3 linked regions of the Notamacropus eugenii genome follow. The protein of the gene in region 2 interacts with the protein of the main gene of each other region in a pairwise test. Links are inferred from orthologs where the notes say so. Each region holds a gene or a part of one and is shown on either strand. Other genes may lie near its edges.

Region 1 (7,143 bases), about 2.0 Mb from region 2:
CCACACTGACCTCGAGGGCCATGAGTCCTGGGGGTGGCTGGGGCTCAGGCCTGGGCCTGGGCCTGGGCCTTAGGGACAGGAGCTCAGGGATTCGAAGTGGTGGAAGCAGTCCCCGAACGACTTCCAGGGGTAGAGGCAGGGGCTCAGGCTCAGGCAACGGCATGGCCAAGGGCAGGGGGAGGCTGGGCCCAATGACTGCTGCAGCTCCTGGGCCCCCCACAGCTGCCCCTGCTTCTTCAAGCCCTGCAGCCGCAGCAGCTGCCACAGCCACAGCAGCAGCGTCTTCTTTCTCTTTCAGACCCAGGCCCAGGCCTAGGCCTAGTTCCCGAGGGGCCGGAGGCTCCTCCTGACAAAAACACAAGGAGATGAAGGTTATCAAGAGAAATAGAAGGGAACAAAGGGCCTCAGAGCCAGGGATGGGGAGGGCATGGGGAGCTGGCCCCCACCCAGGGTCAGCAGGCACTCCCAGCTCAGACTGTGGAGTACCTGAGTGGGTTCAGAGCTTGAGAGAAAAGAGACAAGAAAAAAGAAACAGATATAGAGAAAGAACAAGAAAGGAAAACATAGAGAGATGCAGAGAAACCAAAGACATCTAGGGGAGATCCAGATGATACTGTTAAAGTTGGGGGCTGGGTTCTAGGGTTTACAATAGGGATGTTTGTATCCCCAGGCATTCCCTTCTCACATGCCCTGCACACTCACTGGGGGAGGCCTCAGGGTCGCCATTGTGCCAAGTGGGGGTCCTGGTGCCCGGGCCATTGGTGGCAACATCATGGGAGGTCCAGGGGGACCAGGTAAGGGAGGCCCAACCAGGGCCTGATGTGGGGGCCGAAGAGCCATGGGGCGTGGGCCACCTGCTAAAGAGAAAGAGAAAGTGTGTGGTGAAGGGGGTCCCTGGATCTTTGAGGTGCCGGGGACGCCAAAGAGGGGATGGGGCCGGGCCAGGAACATTCCCTAGGCCCTTCTCTCACCCGCTCTCTGCAGCACATGGGGGACGAAGGCTGGGCGCAGGATGGGGGGACGCTGCGGGGGCACTGCTGAGAGACACAGACAGAGATGGAGACAGGGTGTGAAGGACCATGTTTCAGGGTCTTTGAATGAAGGCCTCAGGGGTTCAGGGGTTGAGAGGGTCCTAGGGTCACTGCTGGCACCTCTGAATCAGTCTTTTGAATCTCAGGGAGTCCTGAGATCGTTGGGAGATCTGTATGTGGGAGGAGCGGTTGGGTATCTAGGGGTTAGATGGTTTTAAAGGGCCTGACGGTATCTTTTGGGGTCCCTTGGGGTTAGGTCTCTGGAAAGGTACCATGGTTGGGAGAAATATCTCTGAAGAGGCATTGTGGAATTGTTGGGGAGTTCTAAGGGCTCAGGAAAAAATTCTGGGGGAGTCTCAGGATTTTGTGACTGTCCTGGAGGGATTTCCTGGGTAGGCTAAATATTTACTGGAGGTGGAGGTATGGGCACTAAGCGTGTGTGTATTAGGGGCAGAGAATGTTGAATTCTAGGCTTTGGGTCCTGGGCACTGACCCGCCCGGCGAAGGAACATGGCATCCCGGGCTTCAGGGCTGTCGAGACGACCTCTATCTCCTCCAGGACCAAAGCCAACTGTAGAGGAGAAGAAACTGCATTGGTGGGGGGACCTTCTGGACTATTCCTTCTTGACCCACCCTCCCTCTTACGTCCTTCCCAACTCACCAGGACCCACAAAGGGGCCAGGGGGACCTACAATGGGAGCAATTACTGTGGCTGCTGCCGCTGCTCGGGCCTCCAGGCTCTGCTGGACCTGACCAGGAGGGAGAACAAGAGAAAGTGGTCAGTGAGGGAGCTCAAATTCCCTTTTTCTTGGGAGTCTAGACTAATAGACAAGTGGAACAAAGAATAAAAGCTGGTTTGGAATTGAGGAACTAGTTGAATGGTAAGAGTCTACACATCCACCAGAAGGTACACTAGACCGCCCTACCTGCTGGTAGGTGTTGGTGGCAATGATTGGGCGGATCACAGGTGCAGGCTCCACAGCTGGTACAACTGGGGTTGGAATTCCAGATATTGGAGCCCCCAAGACTTCCTGCTCAAACCTGAGACAGAAAGAAGAAATGACTTAGACACACAGAAGAATCACTGGGTTTGGTGCCAAAAAGGATCTCAGAAGCCACCTGGTCCAACCCTCTCTCTTTGCAGGCTCGGAAGGAGACTTGGGAATGTTGAAGGACAGAGGGAGAAGTATAAGAAAGAAAAACATGGGAGTCAGACGAAGATTAAGAGACACCACGAAAGATGGAAGTAATCGGACAAAGAAAAAGTTTAGAAAAAACAGCAAGAGTGAGGCAAAAACTAAGACCAGGACGTGGACAGGGAAAGTAAAAAGAAGATAAAAAATCAGGACTACGCAGAGCCCGAGCCACCTCCGGAGGGACACGGAGACAAACACACCAACAAGAGAGAACGAGACGGAAAGATACATCCAGAGAGAAGACACGGAGCAGGGGCAGAGACGTCCAGCCTTAGGGCCGAAGGGAGTCGTCTAGAGCAGGTGAGGTCTCAGAGACGGGACCCACAGGGATGGGAGATGAAGGGAGGCGGGGACACAGGCGGCCTCACCCCCGAGGAGGGGCCAGAGGCAGCGGGCGGTGCGGGATCGCTCTTCCCAGGCCCAGCCAGAGGACCGGAGACAACGGGTAGGCCCCGCCCCCTTTCCCTGCCCCACCCCCACGAGGTCGGCCCTCCCCGCTCCCGGGCTCCCCGGCACGGAGGCAGAGGGACTGCCGGCCCGGCCTCGGGCGCGGCGGGGGGAGGGAGGGGCTCACAGCGCCATCTCCGCCTCCATCTCTTTCAGTCGCTCCTCGCCGCTCTTCCCGGGCACGCAGGGCCCTGGGCCCGAGGGCAACGCTACCCCCGCACCCGGGAGTCCCGGGGGCGGCCCTGTCCCAGCCATCGTCGTCGCCACAGCCGCTTCCGCCGTCTGTCTCTCTTTGCCGACGCACGCCGATGACGCAGAACGCATGCGCTCAAGTGGCACCAATCAGCTTCGCTTTATGCGAGTCCGGCAGGCGCGCAAGCGCAGTTGCTTCCTTGCCTCCTGAGCCAATGAGAGCGCAAGGAACCAGAGACCACGCCCCCAGCCTGCAACTTTGTTTCCATCGGCCAGTAGTGTCGGGGGAGATTTGTTTTCCTGCTGGGAGGGCGGGGGCGTTCCTGGTCTAGAGCTGGGGACTCGGGTTTAATCCCTAGCCCGCCTATAACTGGCCCGAGTGTTGCCTGGACTCCGTCAAATTCTCGCCGCTCTGGCTTTTCTACTTGGAAAGTGCAGGGGCTGCAGTGGGGAGCCCTGGGGTAGTAGAGCCTTGAAAGGCCGGTTTTCAGGAGGCGCTGGCAGGCTGGTGAGCCCGGAAAGAAAGCCTTCGTGAGTCCCCCGGAGCGAGAGGGTGCAGGCTCGGGGGGCACGGCAAGGAGCCAGTTTTAATAGGTGAACAAGGAAAGAGTGGGGGATGCATAGCTCAGTGATACGGGTTGTGAAGCCTTTTAAGATTGGGGAGATCCGAAGTGTAAGCAGATGGGAAGGGCCCGAGCACGGGGTGTAGCGCTTACGAGCTGTAAGCACGCGCCGTCCACGTCACTAAACCTCGAGCCTCAGTTACCTCATCTGTAAAATAAAGACAATACACCTCCCTCCCAGGACACGTCTGCCCAATGTGCGTTACAGAAATACTATTAGCTATCAAAACCGAAGAGGGAAGCACGAGTGGGAAAAGATGGGATGATCACCTTTGCCAGGGTATGGGAGGAAAACTCTTTCCGGGGAGCATATCCAGCTAGAAGCCGAGATGAGCCTTTTCTAGGGAGAAGTAGGAAATGCCAGGTCTAGCTGAGGCCAGAGAAGGCTCGGAGGACTCTCCTGATCCCTGGAGGTAGGCAGACTGAGACAAATGGCCTTGGGGAACAGTCCCTCCCCACTCCCAGGAGCACCCGGTTTCGTGCAGACTCCTCCAGTGGAGTGCTGCAGCTGGGCTTTACTAGAGCCTCAGAGGCAACACTGAAGGTTTGTGGGCTGGTAACTGAAGCGCCCGGATTCCTGAGGGGGGTAGAGGGAGTGGAGGCCTTTACTGCAGAGGGGGGCTTTGGGAAGGAGGCCAACAGCTTCTGCTACCACCTCTCAACCCGACCCAGAAGAGAGCCTTGGGGATCATCTGGTCCAGTCCAAGTCCTTGCCTTGCTGAGACCCCAGAAACGGGAAGTGATTTGAGTAAGGTCACATTCAACTCCTATTAACACGAACTGAGGAATAATAAAATGGATCCCAAATTTCACACTCGGAAGGAACCTCACAGACCCCCTCTTTCCTGCCTTCAAAAGGCAAAGAAACAGAGGAGACCTAGGGTCGAGATTGGATAGGAGTCAGGATAGGGCTGTGGTCCCTGATTTTTCAGCCAGGTCACTGGAATTTAGGTTTCCTGGGGAATGGGGAAAGCATATGGGGCTGGGGGGGGGGGGGGGGGGAACACAGGGGACACAGCAGCCAGCCCTTTAGTTTTCCAGGTTCATCCTGTTCCTGGCTGGGATCTGTGGGGAAGTCTAAGTACCTTGGGAGTACAAAGCTTTGACAGACAGCAAAGCGCTGAAGCACCGCATCTCAGAGGGCATGGCTCTCCAGCAGGGGCTCAGGGTCTGGCCCCTTCCCCTGCCTTGTCTCCACTCCCCAATAAATACACTGCTACTCTCCTAAGCAAGACCTTGAGGAGAAAATGGCAGCCGAGTACCCCAGGGCCTGGGGAAGCATTTCCCTTTTTTGGGAACTCTGGGGGGGACTCACTTCCATAGGGATCCAAGATCCCTGAAGCATCTCCCATTACTAAGATATACTACACATTGAAGCAGGCCCTCCTGTTCAGTCCTTGAATACTGGGAAAAAATCCAGGAAGGCTAAAATTTCATGAGAACAACCCGGTCCCCATGTGGCCCCAGGGCCACCAGGAGTAAAGATGCCACTGTATCCTCCCCAGGAAAGGGCCACCACAGCCCTGGCCAAACTTAAGGAGAGGGAGGTACCCTACACATTCTACTGCCAGTCCCTCCTCCCCAATATGTTAACATGTGCCAGGGGGAGCCAAGGGCACCCTGAGGGTGCCAGTGTGGAAACCAGCTCTTAGGTCATGGTCAGATTTTCTTCCCTTCCAAGGGGTTGGTCTCTGTCCTAAGAACCTTCACAGTGGGAGCTTCTTTCACCCTCCGCTCCCAACCCCATCATCTGGTCCACCTGGCACAGATCTGCTCCCCCTACCCCCTTCCTTAGAGGAGTATCTCAAGTCTTTGATTTCCTATCCTGCCCCAGGAAACCCTGATTGCCTCCTCTTGTTTTAACTGAGGGAACAGGCCAGACACGTCAAGGGCCAAGAGCACATGAGTTGGTCCAGGGGCACTGAAGGACTGGAGAAGTTTAAGGGTCAGAGGTTAAATGCACAGAGAAAAGCCCTGGTCCTGAAATCTCTAAGCACTTTACTGGGAGCAGGAATTTGTCACTTTAACAGTGAAAGGATGAAACCAATTCTTTTCAAGTCCAATAACTGTCTGGCTCTGTGCTTCTGCTCCAAACCTCAGCGTTCAGGCTCTTCGTCCTTGGGCCCGTGCCCAGCGAAGCTTCCACTGCTGGAGGGAGAGGCCATCCTGGTCCTGGAGCTCTTCGGGAAGTGCATTCTGCCCTGGCTGGTCCCACCTGGGGGCGAGATGGCAGGGACAGGCTAGGTCCCTGGAGGTCCTGGATCCTCCTTCCAGCCCAGGTCTGGAGCATCCCCTTCTCAGTTCTCCTCAGCCCCCACCCCGGGTCCCTCAGCACCAGGGCACCCCCTCTCACCAGTCCCCCACGGCCTTCAGTAGCTGGGGGATGTGGTCCAGTCCCTGTTCCATGAGCTCCTCGAGGCGATGCAGGATGGGCCCCAGGTGCTCTTGCTGCTTCTTCTCCTCAGATTCCTGGATCTGAAGTAGTTCTGGGGGGGGAGGGGAGGAAGCAATTCAACGTGACTCAGTGAGCATCCATTAACCCCTTCCACTGGGCAGGACCTCGTTTGGCAGTGGGATTTTCACATACACGATCCAGTCCCTACCCTCAAGGACTTTTCAGTCTAAAAGGCAGAAAAGTCTTGCAGAGAAACAAGGGAGAGTGAAAAGGTTGGAAAATAGAATAAGATGCAATGTTTTTGGAAAATTTAAGGAGGCAGATAACTTTTATCTGGGGAAACTGCTTCAGGTTTTACAAAGGAGATGGGAGCCTGGCCAAAGATGAGGAAGGACTGTCTTCTCTACAGGCAGATGGCATGGCCTGCACAAATAAATGCACAGGCACCAGCAAGTCTGGCTTGGCCATCATCATCAAATTCAACCTCCACAGAGCCAAGGAGTCCAAGGGGTCTTCTGAATCACAGCATTTCAGGTACTTCATTGTTTTGAGTTCACCTCCTCCAGATTAATCTGATTTTCATCTGCTGAGGTCTGGGCATTCAAAGTTGCACATGTGTGAAGAGCACTGCGTGGGCCATTTTTTTCCCACGAACCTTTGTGTTCTCCTTGACGCCTCCCTTTCCTTGACCTCAAACATCCCCTGGTGCTGGACCCCAGGCATTCTGCCTCTACACTATCCACACATGCATTTCTGCTGCCAAGAGCTAGCCATGTGGCAGAAGGAGGGGGTGTAGAGATCATCGAGGTGATTGGGCCTGAGGTGAAGGGGATTTCTGGCTGAGATGGCTGTCTATACTGAGGCCTACCCAACTCCTGGACACCTACTTCAGCAAAAACCTGAAATCTACTCCAGACTGAATAATGACCAAGAAATAGACTGAAAACTGCAAAAAGTGATTTCTTCCACCCCAAAACTGCACCAAAAGTCATCAGTCCACAGGCCATAGAAAAAGGGCCCATCAGCAGAGCAAGGAAGACTATACAGCCTTCTAGAACAACCAGAAAAGGGCCAGGGCCAAGGGCAGCCTGTATGGGCAGCCAGAATGAAGTGCTCCCCCCAAAAGCCCCAAACAGGAAGGGCCCTGAGAAGGGAGAATGTTGTTCAGACCAGGGTGCTGCAGGGCTCTGGGGTCCCTGGCCTGACTTGCCAAAGAGGCCTTGACGATCCAGAACTCTGGACCTTGGAAGAGCAGAGGG
Region 2 (7,795 bases):
TTATCATTGTCTTAAAGGGACCTGAATTTGTTAAAGTGCTAACCATAGGTTTGTCATAGAAGGGAAAACCCTGCATGGAACGCAGAGCATTGGTGGCACTGCTCATCTCCTTGAAGATGACAAACGCTTGGCCTCTCATCTTCAGGCTCCTCGATACCAGGATATCCAGAATCTGGCCAAACTGGGAGAAGATGGCATACAGGGATTTCTTCAATTCTGGGGAAAGAAAGCCCCGAGATGGGCTGTCAGGCAGCAGCCTCCCTAGGGGAAAGAGGAAACCCCAGCCACCACACTCGGTGACCCAGCCCAAGGCCCTGAGACTTCATTCTCAGGCCTCAAATGGGCTACTCCGAGGATTGGGGGGAAAGAAAGGGCCTCACACTCACCATCCTTCTTTATCTTCTCATTGAGATTGTTGATGTAAATGGTGTGGTTGGGACGTGACTCAGGAACTGCCATAGTGGAAAACCCTTGAATATGGCCTGAAAAAACAGTGGGCCTAGGTTAGTCCGGCTTGAGACATCCTTCAGCCCCTTCGTCCCAAGAATCCCAGGGCCACCACCTAGGCCAAAGGCAAGACAACAAGGGGCCTTTCTTGCTTCAACATCTGCCAGAAGACTTCATGAGGCAGCTCGCTGGGCCCTGGGACACTTCTGGGAAACTCACAAGTTACTGTTTACAAACTGGCCAAAATCTGCCTCCCCACAACTTGTCACCCACCAATTCTAGTACTGCCTTCTAGACTCAAGCAGAGAAAGCCTGACTCCTCTCCCCTTCCCATCCTGTCTCCCATGAACTTCCCAGAGTGACTGGGGCAGCAGGAGGGAAGAAAGCAGAGATCTCACCAACTCAATCCTAGGCACCTTCCTAGCCACAAGATGTAGGCTCCACAAATGGAGCTCACTCACAAAGAGCACCAAGGAAATGGAATTCAATCTCATTGATGGCTCCCACAAAGCAGGCTCTCAGTTCAATTCAACTAATGCTTGTTGGAACAAAGAGCATGAGAAAATCATTAACACTACAAGAGGTGCCAAAAGGCCATGTGGATGCCATGGCCAAGCCTTCTGGACAGGAAAGAGTAAAGGAACTACAGAAGAGGAAGGTCACTGGGCCTGGCACCCAGGCTCAAGGGGAAGCCTAAAGAAACAGAGTCCTGCCTCAGACACATGCTGCCTGGGGGACCCTTGGCGAGTTCTGTGAGCTCTGTGATACAAGCAAGCACAACACTAAGTTCCACATGAGCTGTTGATCTGACTACATCTGGGGAAACTCCCACCCAGACAAGACCAGAGGCCAAACCAAACATGAAGTTCTTTGGATATGGTGCTCTGAAATACATTCTCATTACCTATCATCCCAACAACCCTGTGAGGCAAGGAGGGACACCACTACACCCATTTTTTATATGAGGACACAGAAACACAAGAGGTGAACGCAGGATTCAAAGGCATATAACTTAGAACCATTAAGACTCAAAGCTGAGAGACAGCTAACTGAAGTGGATAGAGCACCAGCCCTAGAGTCAGGACTACAGCCTCAGACACTTACTAGCTGTGTGACCCCAGACAACTCATTTAACCCCAATTTGAACCTCCTGCTGAGATTCAAAGCAGGTCTAGGACTCTTTCAATTACAAGGTGCCTCCAAAGCACATCAACACCCTTGTTGCCTTCATTGGTATTCTAGGCCTTCCAAGATGGCCCCAGCCCAAGTATCTCCCAATCTTCTTGCCCAGCCAGTGGTTCAGGCCAACATCCATTTCAATCCTCCCCCATCATCACTTATTTCAGCCTGCTATGTGCTGGGCCCAGTTCAAACAGTCCCTGCTCTCAAAGAACTCTAATTCTAATGGGGGAGAAATAGGACAAGCCTGGGCCAAGAGACGCCCATGCCAGGTAACAGGTGGGGAAGAGCATGAGCTCCCATGGCCAAGGAAAGGCTTCCCATGAGGTTGGGACAGCATCACAGCTGATGGGCACTGGAGCCTAAGAGGAGGAAGAAAGGAGGGCACTGCCAGCCCCAGGAAAAAGACACAGAGGTGAATAGGGGCCCGTACCCCGGGCCAGTATGAGATGGGCAATAGGAAGCCTACAGTGGAGGGGGCTTCCCAAGTGACGGGACACAGGGGGATGAACGCAGTGAGGAGCCGACCTTGGAGATGACTGCATCGACGGTGGCGCCCCTGAATTAGAACAACCGTTTTGGGGGCAAAGAGAAGGGGTCCCGTTTTGGACACAGGGACTTGGCCCCGTGGAAGGGCGGCGCTCTGCAGAAAGGTGAGGGCCGTGGCAGAGCCAAGGCAAGTCGGAGAGGCTCACGATGGCAAAGACCAAGGAGATGGAGGGCGGGAGCCTCGAAAGGGCCAAGTGACACCGCGGGGCCCTCGTGCAGGCGCGGGCCTGGGCGGCCGCAGGGAGCTTACGCTAACCAGGGCGCTGTGGGCCGGGGGTGTCAGCGAGGTCCCCCCCGAGCGACTTGCCCGATTCACGCGGGCGCCAGCTCTAGCTCCAAATCCAGGGCTCCGGCCACCGCACCACCGGGCCTGCCCCCGGGCGGCTGATCCCGGAGCAGCGGCGTTCCCGGGTCCCCCCCGGAACCGCGGAGGCTGGGCCTGCGAGGGAGGAGAGGGGGTGAGGAGGGTACCGGCGGAGGCCACCGGGCGCGCGCTCCCGGCCACGTGTCCGAGGCCGGCTGGCGCGCCGCCAAGGGCGAACGTTCGCGTAGCCCCGCCCCTCCTCGGGAGGCGAGAGCCCGTGGGGGGGGCAACGGATAGGGGATGGAGGGGGCAGATTGGGGAGTGGGGTCGTCGAGGGGGACGCCGAACACCGGCGGCCGAAGGTACGGGGCGGAGAAACTTCGCCAGCCCAGGCCCGATGACGGCCGCCCGCGGACAATACTTACTAATGGCGTGCGTCCGCGAGTTCCGCCGGTCGCTCTGTGGCGGGTCCCTCCTCCGCGGGGCTCAGCGGCGCTAGGCCCCGCCCCCATCCTAAGGAGAACCAATCCAGGCGCAGGATGTCTGGCCGTCTGGCCAACCAGAGATATCCCCGCCCCACCTGCGCAGGCTTCGCCAATCAGAACGTATCTTTGACTCCCGCCGCGTCTTGGAATGGACAAGAAGAAGAAGGGGAGGTCTGGCAGTCTCGTTTCCTTCGCCGCGCCCTTGTGCGCTGCGCATGGCCTGTTACGCAGCTCGTATACTTTGGAGTCTTACTGGAGGCGGGGATGGACGCTGATGGGGAAGGGGAGGAGGGGCAGTCTGTCACGTGATTCGGCGGCGGCCGCCATCTTGAGAAGGTGGTGGTTTGGGGGCGTGGGCGGGAGCTCGGAAACTTCGGCCTGGGTAGCCTTCTTTTCGCCCTCCCCCCTGCTGCTTCCTGCCTTTTGGACCTTGGCCCTGGAGCCCATTTCTTTGCTGGCACCTGCACCGGGCTCAGCCTGACCTTTGCCCTCTGGCCTCCCTCTTGCCCCCGAGGCTGACCCCAGACTTGAACTCGTTAGCTGGAAAGTCCCCTTTCCTCCTGACCTATTCTGGGCCCCCGCTCCACTCTTTGTTCCCCAGACCCCTTCCCCCCATCCCGCTTCACCCCTGACGGTCCCTCCCCTGGGCCCTCGGGGCCGCTGACCCCTGACCCTCGCTGCCTCCACCTGGCCCTGGGCCTGAGCCCCCAGACCCTCCTCCTCCGGCCCGTGCCCTTTGCACCCCGCCCCGCCATGGCTGCCGTGGGGTGCCCCCCACCCCCTCCGCTGCCCCCGCCCCCGGCCCCCCCTGCCAGCCCCCCCCACGTCTTCGGCCTCGAGAAGGGCCGGCTCCTGAAGGAAGCCCTGGCGAGGTCGGACCCGGGGCTGGGGGTTCGGGAGGATGTCCGCCGGCTCCTGAGGCTCCGCAGAGACCGGTAGGGCCCAACTCCCCAGGGGTCCCGGCCTCGCTGCCTCTGTCCCCCCCAGGGGCCCAGACGGGGGCGGGGGGCTCATCCACACCTCACACCCCTTAGGGATCGTGTGACCCAACTGGCATTTTACAGATGGGGAAACTGAGTCCCGGAGCAGGGAAAGGTCTGAGTCCACCCAGCCAGGAAGGGACAGAGCTTCGCCCCATGGGCAGCATCCCAGTGACCTCGGCGTACAGCCGCTGAGCCGGTGGAGCAGGAGGCCTTGGCCTGGGGGGTGCCGTGGGGGTGACCTCCATCCGGCAGACTTGTGCCCCGAGTTCAGGTTGTGCCCTCAGACGGGTGCTGGACGAGTCACTGCACTTCAGCCTGCCCCAGTTTCCTCATCTCCAAAGCAGGGATAACTGCAGACCCTGCCCCCAGGGCCTGAGGGGCGCAGTGCAGCCCCTGGCACAGAGTAGGCACTCTGTCCACCTTAGCTGTTGTTGTGAAACAAGGACCATGGTATGTGCGCCATCTGCTTCCCAGGATCGTGAGGGGTGTTAGGTGGATGCCTGGGAAAGCAGAGCTGGGGCACGCCTTGGCTCCCGATGGCCCTGCCTCATTTCGTAAAAACGTACAGTATGAGCCTAGCATGTCATCGGAGGCTGCCAAGTCCCACCCTTGTGGGGAGAAGAATGAGATGAAGGGAAGGGAACGCCCCACGGGCGGCGTCCCCTCCTTCTGGTCATCTCACCCAGACCATCCCCAGCTGGTGGGATGTGGCAGGTTGGCCTGGATGGCTTCCCGGGGACTCTGGCCAATGACGCGTCTTCATCAGTTTCAGGAGCGATCTGAAGTGGATCCTCTTCTGCTCCGATGTGCCCTCCCTCATCCAAGAAGGGCCTCAGTAGGTAGCCCTCCCCGCTCCCTGCCGCTTTCACTCTCCTGGGATGGGGCAGAGAACAGGGGTCCTTGATAGAGTCCACCCACCCTTGAGAGCTGAGATGGGCCCAGTGAGATGTTTGGGGGGAAGAACCAGGGGTCAGAAGGTGCCTCCATAAGCTGGGTCAGAGGATGGATCAGTATTGCATGATGACACACTGAGCTGGGATTTGTGAACTCTGGGCTTGGCCCGCCCTGCCTGCTGACTAGCTGTGTGACCTTGGACCAAGCAGTGCATTGCTCTGGGCCTTCCTGCCTGGGAGATGAGCACAATAGCTCCTGCTTGGAGAAGATGGCTTCAGGTTGCATGAAGCACCATCAGTCTTTTAATACTATCCTTGTTGCCTAGCCAAGACACTGACAAAGGTCCTCAGGATCCACGTCCAGGTGCTCGAGGCTCCCGGTACCCAGCAAGTACCATGGAAAGAGCCACTGGGCTGTCTGAGTCCCAGCTCAGTCCCTGTTTCTTCATCTAGAAAGTAAAGCCTGGACTAATCCAGGAAGGTCCTTTGCTGCTCCAGGCTCCTCAGTGAGGGGTCTGGACAGGGCAGGGGCCAGTCCTCCTTGTCACTGACTCATGTTAGTGCTGCCACCACTGCCCAGAGTGAGAGTCAAGGCCACAGAGAGGATCCCAGGCTCCATCGAGGGGGAAAGAGCCAAGGAGGGAGAGTAGGAGAGAATGAGTGGCTAGGTCCCCTTCTGTGGCCTCATGCCTAGTACACAGCTCCCCCCATCAGGCAGGTCTGATCCCCAGGCTGACCCAATTCAGAATACTCCCCCAGCCTTCTCAGTCCCTCCATCCTGCCAAACCTCACTGAGCCCTCTCCCCACTTTCAAGATTTTGGGGCCTAGGGTTTCTTCTCACACCTTCTGTTCCCTCAGCCTCCCAGGATGAGCCCTCAACTCTAGCCCTGGATTTCTTCCAGGAAAATTCTCCTTAGTCTCTTCAGAATGCTGCCTATATAGAAGTCCCTCCTCTTCCCGTTGTAGGCTGGCCTGGGAACATGCTGGAGTTTGGGGAGGGGCCTCAGGGCTGGGGTGACATTGCTTTGCCCTCCATCTCCTCTCAGGTGTGGGTTGGTAGCGCTGTGGATGGCAGGCTCTCTGCTTGCTCTCCCCCAGGACATCCCCTTGGAGAATATTGTGGCCGTGGCTCTGGAGAGAGGGTACACAGCTCAAGGAGAGATGTTCTCAGGTCAGTGAAAGCAGGGGAGATGGCAGCTGTGATCTAGCCAGACCAGATCTGCCTAGGACTGACACCCTCCCCCTCTTCCCTGCAGCAGCCAGTATGGCCAGGCTGGCCAAGGAGGTCTTTGGATGCCAAGTGGAGCTGCTCTCTGGGGGCCTGGGCGAGCCCAATCGATGCCACATCCTCCAGCACCTCATCGCAGGCTTCCCACTGCTGGTCCCGTATCCTTTACATGCTAGGGCCACAGGTACTCTTTGGGGTGGTATGGACCAAGAGAGGGGCTCACATCTCCTTGCCCTCCAGGTCTTGGCCTTGACTGGCCCTGCCCAGCTATGATGAGGACTACAACCATGAGCCCTGCAAGAAGAAGGGGCACAAGGCCCACTGGGCAGTTGGTGCAGGTAACTCTGGCTTAGGTTGGGACTGAGGTCACCCTACCCTTGACCTCAGTGCAGAGCTCTGCTACTTTAATAGCGGCTAGCCCTCAGAACACACCTTCCCCCAGGGGCAGTGGCTGGAGACCCTGGCTGGGACCAGGATTGTCCCCCTCAGCATCGGGTTCATCATCTCTGGAAGGAATGGGATAGGACCATCCCCACCTTGGGCTGGACTTCCTACTTCCTGGGGAAAGGCCAAGGAGAAGAGCCTTAAAAATAATAAGTGCCATGCATGGCACTTACCGTGCTAGGTGCTGCACTAAGCACTTTAGAAACGTTATCTTGTTTGAGCCTTGCTACAACCCTGGGAGGTGGGTGCTGTTGTTATCCACATTTTACTGATGAGGAAACTGAGGCAGGCAGAAGAGAAGTGTGTAAGGTCAGCTGCCAGGGATCAGTCATTGCCCTTCCCTCCCTGTCCCCCCACAGGCCTCCTGCTAGGAGTTCCTAGTCCAATACTGAGCCCAGATTATGAAGAGGACTCAGAGTTGAAGGGCCTGTTTTACCCAGCATCTGACAAGCTCCCTCTCCTCCCCGAAGACCCTCCTGAGGCCGTCTACCTCCTCTCCAAGCAGGGCAAGAGCTGGCATTACCAGCTTTGGGATTATGAACAGCTTTGTGAGAGTAACCTGCAGCTCACTGACCTGGCCCCAGTCAGGACCACAGATGGTAAGGTCTACGTGGTGCCTCCCGGCGGAGTGCAAGCAGGCCTCTGTGGCCAAAGCCTGCTGCTCCGACCCTAGGACTCAGACCTTCCCCCTGGGAGTCAGGCCTGCTGTGTGTGCACGTGTGTGATGCTAAGGTCCTTGGTTTCCCCATCCATCCTCTGTCCTACGGAGATTCTGAGAGGCCCAAACGAGCTGCTTTGGTGGTAGAGGAATGTTGGACCTGGAGAGCAGAAGCCAAGGCCTAGTCCTGGCTGTCTGTGCTATTACTTGGCCCTGGGACTTAGTTTCCCCTTTGTGTAGTGGAGTGTGGTGAGGGGATGTAATGTCTCATAAACAGCCATGCCAGCATGAGAAGAGCATCCTGTATTGTCTAACTGTGGATCCCTTGAGACTCCCCTCTGAAGGGAATTCACCAGAAGCCAAACTTGTGGAAAAACAGTCTTATCAGGCTTTGTTTATTTCAGGGAATGGCCAGGTCCCTTCCCCATCCCATCTCTTCCAGCATCAGCCCAATCTTCTTTATAAATACATAGAAAGAGGACCCACCCCCACCCCTCCATCCCCCTTCCAGGCCAGGAAAAGAAGCTTAATTAAGGCTAGAACTCTTGGGAGGCAGCGGGTATGTAGTGAAAAGACAGCGAGGGGGAAGGGAGGTCTGGCCTCGAACCCACAGCTCTGCTACTT
Region 3 (7,151 bases), about 17 Mb from region 2:
AACTGGAGGCTGGCAAGGTAAGAAATGTAGTTACTGCAGGGAAGATCTAAACAGCCAAAGCCACAGTCTAAACCAAACATCAAACTCTGGGCCCCAGTCACTTAGCCCATGAGGGTGGCCTCAAACAGATGAAACATATTTAAAAGGTAATCGAGACATATTTAACGAGATGTAGAACGCAGTGTTATTTTGTTTTTTTTCCTACTTTTACAGGTGACCCACAGAGATCTGTTTCTACTTAAGTTTGACCCCACTGTTCCAAACATTTGGCTTGGGGGAAGGGGAGGAAGGATTTATGGCCCCCACTGTGCCTACTGACTCCTCTTCTCAGAAGACTGTTGGGGTTGCTTTTTTTTTTTTTTTTTGAAGATCCTTAACTGATGAAAATGCTACATTTCCATAGGAAGTGACTACAAAGACACAATGTTTTTTTTTTTTTGCCTGTCCAATTCAGAATCACCAGAAATTTCTTCATGGTTAAAAATCCCTGAGGCTGACAGTGTGAGGCAATAGCTAATATGACAAATAAGGGTCCTTGGGACCACCAATGCCAGCCCTACCACTTGACAGATGAGCAAACCCAAGACCAGAGATAAAAGACAAGGGCAGAAGCTCATGGAGCTGGGGATGTATAACAGCAATCTATCAACGGAGTGCTTTTGGACCAATGCAAGAGTTCTCCTTCCATGTCAACGTACCCTGGGACTGTGCAAAGGATTTCCATTTTATCAACAAGAAAGCTCAAGTTTAGAAAAGTAATTTGCTCTCTGTCCCACACCAGTGACTTTGGAGGCCATCCGGCCCTATTCCCTCTTTACGTGGGGGAAACAGACATTGGCCCACAGGAGCACGTTCCAATAAATGCTGGAGGCCAGGCTTTCAGCCAGGCCTTCTGGCCCAGAGCCCAGGTCTCTTTCCCTTAAGTCATGTGATCCAAGGCCCTATGAGGCCCTGCAATCTTTGGCTCTGAGACTCCTTGGATCTCCCCATGAGGCAGCAGCCAAAGCTGGATTAACAGAGATTTGTCATCCCCTCTGCCCGGCAAGATGAGCTACAGCTTAACTAAGCAGAAAGAGCACTGAATAAGAAGGATCAGGGTTTTACCCTTAGTAACTCTACAACCCTGGGAAAGTGTTTCACCTCCACAGGCCTCAGTGTCCTCATCTGGCAAACAAAGAGTTTGGATAAAGGTAGACTGATGTCCCTTCCAACAAGGAATCTATGACCTTCTGACTGATCCCAGCCCAGAGCCCAAATGCTTAAACACAGGCCACAGCCCTCTGGCTCCTGGGAAGCAGAGCTGAGATCGTGGGAGCCTAAGGCTTTTTACCTGGGTGAGAGATCCCTGGTGCTGCCCAGGGGTCGCCGCCTGCTGCGGTGCTGCTGTCGCGTAGGTGGTGGTCAGACTGTACTGGCCTGGGGAGCCATAGCTTTGGTACATGTTCTAGGAGACAGGCCAGCGGTCAGTGGGGACGCCAACGCGGACTCCACTTTGGCCCCCTCCCTCCAGCCCCCAGCACTCACCATAGGGTAGTAGTAATTGTAGGGATAGGCATAGTTGTACTGCTGGTACCACTGATAGTACTGCTGCTGCTGGAGCGCGGCGGCGTCGGCCTGAGCCACATACTGAAGGGACACAGGTGGGGGGGCAGGGCACAGAGTGAGGGACACAGACACACACCCTCCTCCCAGGTGCTCCGAAACACACTTGGGGAAAAGAGGGGAAGGGGCAAGAATGATTCCGCTCCGGCCACCTGGCCTCATGCTCTTCAGCACAGTTAGGAAGCTCAGGGGTGGGCTCCCATCACCTCCAGATGCTCGGGGGCTGCCCCCCCCGCCCCCCCACAGGGGCAGCCCCGCTCACCTGGGCCGCAGCCACTTGGCCGTTGCTGCTGTTTTTGGCCGAGCTGCCCGTGGCGCTGGCCTTGCTGATGCTGGCCAGGGCCTGGCGGGCCTTCTCCCACTCGGGGTTCTCGTGCATGGGCGCGTCCATGGCGCTCTCCCTGGCCGGCCCGCTCCCCAGGCTGTACTGGGCCGCCCTGCCACACAGGACATGACCTCACAGACTCATGGAACCCGGAGGCGCGGGGGCAGGGCGGCCAAGGGGGCCCCAAGACACGGCCCCCATGCCCGTAGGGCCCGGACGCTGCTGGGGGCACCCCCTCCTGGCCCCCCGCAGACACTCCTGGATGCCCCCCCCGGGGAAGCCCCCACACCACTCACCACTCGGCTCCCCGCTGGTCCCCCACATTGGCGGCCATTCGGACCTCGGGCTGGGCACCGGGGCCCCGGGACGGCGGCCTGCGTCTGGCTTCGGGGAGAGGACGGAGGTGAGGCGGGAGCTCCCCCTGCTCGCCCACCCAACCCGGGAGCCCCAGACTACGGAGAGTCGCGGCGGGGCCGGCGTTCCGGAGGCGATGGGCCGGCGGCCCGCCACCCCGCCTCTGCGCCTGCGCCCCGGGGACACGCTCGCCCCCACGGCACCGTCCCCGCCACGGGCGCGCGCCTCCAAACCCCGAGTTCCAAACTGCCCGGAGAGGGCGGGGGCAGCGCATGCGCAACGGCGCCTCTGAGACGCAAACGCCCAAGCGGCCGGCGCCAGACGGGCAGCGCGCATGCGCAGCGGCGCCACCGCCCCGCAGCCGAGGCGCGCGCCGCGGTCGTTGGCCCGGGCCCGTGAGCGGGGATGGCGGGGAACGGGGCCTCGAGCCCCGGCAGAACCCTGAAAGCGCACAAAAAGCGCGACGGCCAGACCCTCTCGTCCCACTCCCGCGGCCCGGCCCTGCCCAAGATGGCGGCACCAAAGGCTAGCTCACCTGACGGCAGCTTCTTCCTCCGGCGCTGAGTCCAACGCGTGAGGGACGGTAGTAGAGGAGGAAGGGACGTGGCGAGGGAGCGCACGCGCGCAACGTCAGCACGCCGCCGCGGGCCCCGCCCCGTGGCCATCGCGGGGGCCAATGGGAGGTCCCGTACGGGCCCGCTCCCCTCCCCGACCGGCGCTTTAAAGACTCGAAATGCCCATCCGAAGGACCAATGAGAGGTGAGACTGGGACTGCTTCCCCATCCAGCCACGCCCTCCCGTACTGGAGGCCTAAGCGGAGAGGGGGCTGGGGGTGGGGGTGGGGTAAGGTACTCCGAACGTCAGCCAATGAGAGCTGCAGTGGCGTAATGAGCCCGCCCCCGGGACAAGTCCCGCCCCAACTGAACTAGGGCAGAGGAGGGAGGAGGCTCATCGTAGAGTATTGAGCTGGGTGAGAGAGAAAGAGAGGGAGAAGGGAGGGAGGGAAGGGAAGGACGGAGAGAAAGAGAAGGGGGGAGGGAGAGAAAGAGAAGGGAGGGAGAGAAAGAGAAGGGAGGGAGAGAAAGAAGGGGGGAGGGAGAGAAAGAAGGGGGGAGGGAGAGAAAGAGAAGGGGGGAGGGAGAGAAAGAAGGGGGGAGGGAGAGAAAGAGAAGGGGGGAGGGAGAGAAAGAATGAGGGAGGGAGAGAAAGAGAAGAGAGGGAGAGGAGGGAGGGAGAGGAGGGAGAGAAAGAGAAGGGGGGAGGGAGAGAAAGAGAAGAGGGAGAGAAGGGAGGGAGAGGAGGGAGGGAGGGAGAGAAAGAGAAGAGAGGGAGAGAAGGGAGGGAGAGGAGGGAGGGAGGGAGAGAAAGAGAAGGGGGGAGGGAGAGAAAGAGAAGAGGGAGAGAAGGGAGGGAGAGGAGGGAGGGAGGGAGAGAAAGAGAAGAGAGGGAGAGAAGGGAGGGAGAGGAGGGAGGGAGGGAGAGAAAGAGAAGGGAGGGAGAGAAAAGAGAAGGGGGGAGGGAAAGAAAGAGAAGGGAGGGAGAGAGAGAGAGAAGGGAGGAGCAGCTGACAGAGGAGACCCCAGCACTGGAGGGTGCAAACAGAGGAGGCCCGGGAGTGACTTGGGTACTGGGGGGGGAGGGGTGTACACAGAGAGAGGAGACATGGCCAGGACCTAGGGACAGAGGGGAGACTCCAGTTCTGACCTGGGTGCTGAGGTGGTACAAAGAGGGAGGAGATGTGGGCACTAAGAGGGCAGCACAGAGGGAAGAGACCCCAGTCATGACCTGGCACTGAAGGGGGCAGAGAAAAGGCAGATGCAGATGTGGCCTCTGAAACCAAAAAGGAGTCAGACCACCAGAGTTATCCCTAAGCTGTACAGATCACAGAACAAGAAGAGAAAAGAAGAGAGGGCACGTTCTGAGGGCACCTTGTTGCCCCGAATCAATTCTGGGAATACTTCTCCAATGACCTGTGACCCTAGGCACTGGCAGAACCATTAGAAGTGATTGTGGAACCATCATCGATAATTTTCCAGAGCAGATCATTAAAGGACTGATTAATGATCTTCAAAAGAAGCAAATGGTGGCTCCAAGAAGCCCCTGTGGGCTGTCTCATCAAGAACGGATCATGCCACAGTAACCTTAGTATTGTTTTTTCATGTATTCACCTGTTAAATCATAGTAATATTGTATGTTGTTTCTCTAGATTTTTGACAAAGTCAGCTAGAGGCAACTAGGTGGCACAGTAAATACAGCCTGAACCTGGAGTCATGAATTCAAATCCAGCTTCATACACTAACTCGGAGACCCTGAGCAGATCACTTAACCTCTACCTCAGTTTCCTCATCTGGAAAATGGGAATATCAGTAGAACCTACCTCAAAATATCTAAAGTGCTTAGCACATCATTAGCACTTGGTAGGTGCTTAATAAATGTTTCCCTTCCCTCATTCCTTCCTTGTGTTATTCTTGTGGAAAAGGTGGAGACATTGGGGCTGGACCATAATCCAATTAAGTTTGGAACTGGTAGGATATTGGACCTAAAGACTAATCCTTCTTGGTTTCTTGTCAGCTAGGAAGAAACTCTCCAGTGAAGTGATCCAGGGAATGTATTCTCAGCCTTGTTCCATATAACATTTTCATCAATGACTTTGCCCATGACCCTCCATCTCCCATCTCAGTACTTTTGCGCTACCTGTTCCTGCCTCACTCCTCCCCAACTGCCAATGCCTCCCCTTTTGAGATGACCTGCCCTCTGTATGTATCTTGGCTATATGTAGTTATTTATCTGTGTCTCTTCATTAGAATATGTTCTGCTGCTGCCTTTCTTTGTATCCCCAGGTCTTAGTACAGAGTAAGTGCTTAATCAGTTCTTGTTGACTGACTATAGACCTAGATGATATCCCTATCAAACTCAAAGATGATGCAAAGTTGGTTAGAAAAGCTGCCATGTCCTCTTGGAGGTCAAAGACAGACACAAAGTACCAATGGACACCAGACAAATCACAGCAGCCCTTAAGTGTTACCAAAAATTTGGAAACTAAGTAAGCACCATCTCAGTCAGGGAAGGATTAAATAAATGGTGACATGAGAAATAATATGACGACTTGGGGAATCACAGGAAGATTTGTATGAACTAATAAGTGACTGAGATGTGTGTGTTCATCCTTCATTGTTGAAGAAGACCATGCCATCAGAGAAATGATGACATGACTTGCACTTGACTTTGTTTGGAATGAGGGAGGGCTGTGCAGGTCACCAGCCTCACTTCTCCTCCAGAGCCATCTGAATCCAGTGACCAGATATTCATCAGGATGACTGGAGATGACCTAGGATGAAGCAAGTGGGGTTAAGTGACTTGCCCAAGGTCACACAGCTAGTGAGTGTCAAGTGTCTGAGGTCCTCCTGACTCCTGCACTGGTGCTCTATCCACTGCACCACCTAGCTGCCCCAAGTGACTGAGATGAGCAGAACCTGAAGAGCCATGATTACAACAGTGAAAAGATTACTCAAAGGAAGTTGAAGTCTGAGTAAGTGAAAAACCAGTGATGATTCCAGAGGGCAGATAATAACCCAGACTTCCCCTCTGTAAACCAGGAGGGCAGAAGGGCCAGATTGGTTCGCTATATCAGTTGTTTTGCTAGAATGTTCTTCTTTGTTACAAGGTGTAGATCTGGGGGTTGGGGGTGGGGGAAGGAGTAACAATTAACTTTGCTATATCCAGAAATGACCATGATATGGATACAAATGTCCACAATTAAACTTGTAAGGAAAGGAAAAAATGGAGTCACAGTTCCATAAAACCTTGATGTGCCAGAACACCAGGCAGAAGCCAATAAGATGAAATTTTAGAGAAATGTCTTACATTTGGATTTTTGCAAAACCCACTTCATGAATGCAATAAAATTATAGTTAACCTCAATGTAATCTTTTAAGTTAGCAAAGCACTTTATGTTTTCTCATTGGATCCTCACAACAGCCCTTGGAGGCAAGTGTTATTATTATCCCCATTTTACAGATAATGAACTGAGGCACAGAGAGTTTAAGTGATTTGCTCAGGGTCACACATCTAGTGAGTGATGAGGCAGGATTTGAACTTGACTTCCTACTCCAAGTTTCATGAGCTATCTGCTGTGCTCACAACTAGGCAGCCATCAGCCTGAAAAAGACTGCAAGCTAGATTTATGTCAACAAGGCACTGTGGCAGCAAAGAAAGTCCAATCTTAGGATGCATCCAGGGAAACAGCATCTAGAAATAAGGCCTGTAACAGCTTCAAAGTGAAAGGGACCTCAGAAGCCATCCAGTCCTACCCCCTCATATTGCAGGGGACAAGAGTGATGCCCAGAGAGGTTCACAATCTATAAAGTGCTGAGATATAGATCCTAAATCCTCCAGCTCCAAGATGGACAAGCTTCCCCATTCCCTCTTCCCTGTCCCTAAGGAGATGAAGGTCCTCTCCCTTGCCCAGGAATTTTGTATTCAGTTCTGGGCACCTACTTTCAGGAAGGATTTTGATGAGCTGGAGAGGATCAGAGGAAAGATAACTAGAAAGGTGAGAACCTATTCACCAAACACCATGTGCCTGCTATGTTTGAGGCAGTGTACTAGGTGCTAAGTAGTTTTTTCAGGACCTCACATTTTATTAGAAAACTACAGTAACACAGGCAAAGGCAAAGCAGTTTCAAGAAGACAGTCCCTACCCTATGAAGATCAGGTGAAGGAACCAGGGTTGGCTTATTTGAAGGAGAAAAGACTCAAGGGAGACCTGAGACCTCTCTATGAGTATTTGAAGAACATTTGAGTGAAGGAGCAATTAGAAATGTTCTCTTTGGCCCCAGAGGGCAGACAGACAAGGATTTTGTTGTGGGTT

The links. The genes of interacting proteins can lie anywhere in the genome.
Region 1: the proteins of SNRPA (region 2) and RBM42 interact in a two-hybrid assay, tested with the Homo sapiens proteins (2 studies listed by BioGRID and IntAct). The link is inferred for Notamacropus eugenii from reciprocal best matches to the Homo sapiens genes SNRPA and RBM42.
Region 3: the proteins of SNRPA (region 2) and LENG8 interact in binary tests that used the Homo sapiens proteins (3 or more experiments, as listed by UniProt). The two-hybrid records come from large-scale screens. The link is inferred for Notamacropus eugenii from reciprocal best matches to the Homo sapiens genes SNRPA and LENG8.

The regions. Positions count from the first base shown.
Region 1 is NC_092876.1:32,863,457-32,870,599, reverse strand, and holds the start of RBM42 (RNA-binding protein 42), read right to left. Parts: upstream 3,014-7,143; 5' UTR 2,999-3,013; coding exon 2,802-2,998; intron 2,583-2,801; exon of another isoform or gene 2,176-2,582; intron 2,073-2,175; coding exon 1,958-2,072; intron 1,810-1,957; exon of another isoform or gene 1,781-1,809; coding exon 1,693-1,780; exon of another isoform or gene 1,603-1,692; coding exon 1,525-1,602; exon of another isoform or gene 1,038-1,524; coding exon 972-1,037; exon of another isoform or gene 858-971; coding exon 703-857; exon of another isoform or gene 347-702; coding exon 11-346; exon of another isoform or gene 1-10. Other genes in the region: HAUS5 (HAUS augmin-like complex subunit 5), read right to left, coding at 5,593-5,704, 5,843-5,975. UniProt on the Homo sapiens protein: Binds (via the RRM domain) to the 3'-untranslated region (UTR) of CDKN1A mRNA.
Region 2 is NC_092876.1:30,892,058-30,899,852, forward strand, and holds the start of SNRPA (U1 small nuclear ribonucleoprotein A), read right to left. Parts: upstream 3,008-7,795; 5' UTR 2,905-3,007; intron 2,615-2,904; exon of another isoform or gene 2,155-2,614; intron 483-2,154; 5' UTR 460-482; coding exon 387-459; intron 217-386; coding exon 44-216; intron 1-43. Other genes in the region: ACTMAP (actin maturation protease), read left to right, coding at 3,718-3,899, 4,714-4,782, 5,888-6,012, 6,098-6,227, 6,337-6,407, 6,873-7,186. UniProt on the Homo sapiens protein: Component of the spliceosomal U1 snRNP, which is essential for recognition of the pre-mRNA 5' splice-site and the subsequent assembly of the spliceosome. U1 snRNP is the first snRNP to interact with pre-mRNA.
Region 3 is NC_092876.1:13,671,414-13,678,564, reverse strand, and holds the start of LENG8 (leukocyte receptor cluster member 8), read right to left. Parts: upstream 3,014-7,151; 5' UTR 2,947-3,013; coding exon 2,817-2,946; intron 2,485-2,816; exon of another isoform or gene 2,312-2,484; coding exon 2,224-2,311; intron 2,040-2,223; coding exon 1,865-2,039; intron 1,708-1,864; coding exon 1,525-1,707; intron 1,445-1,524; coding exon 1,331-1,444; intron 10-1,330; coding exon 1-9.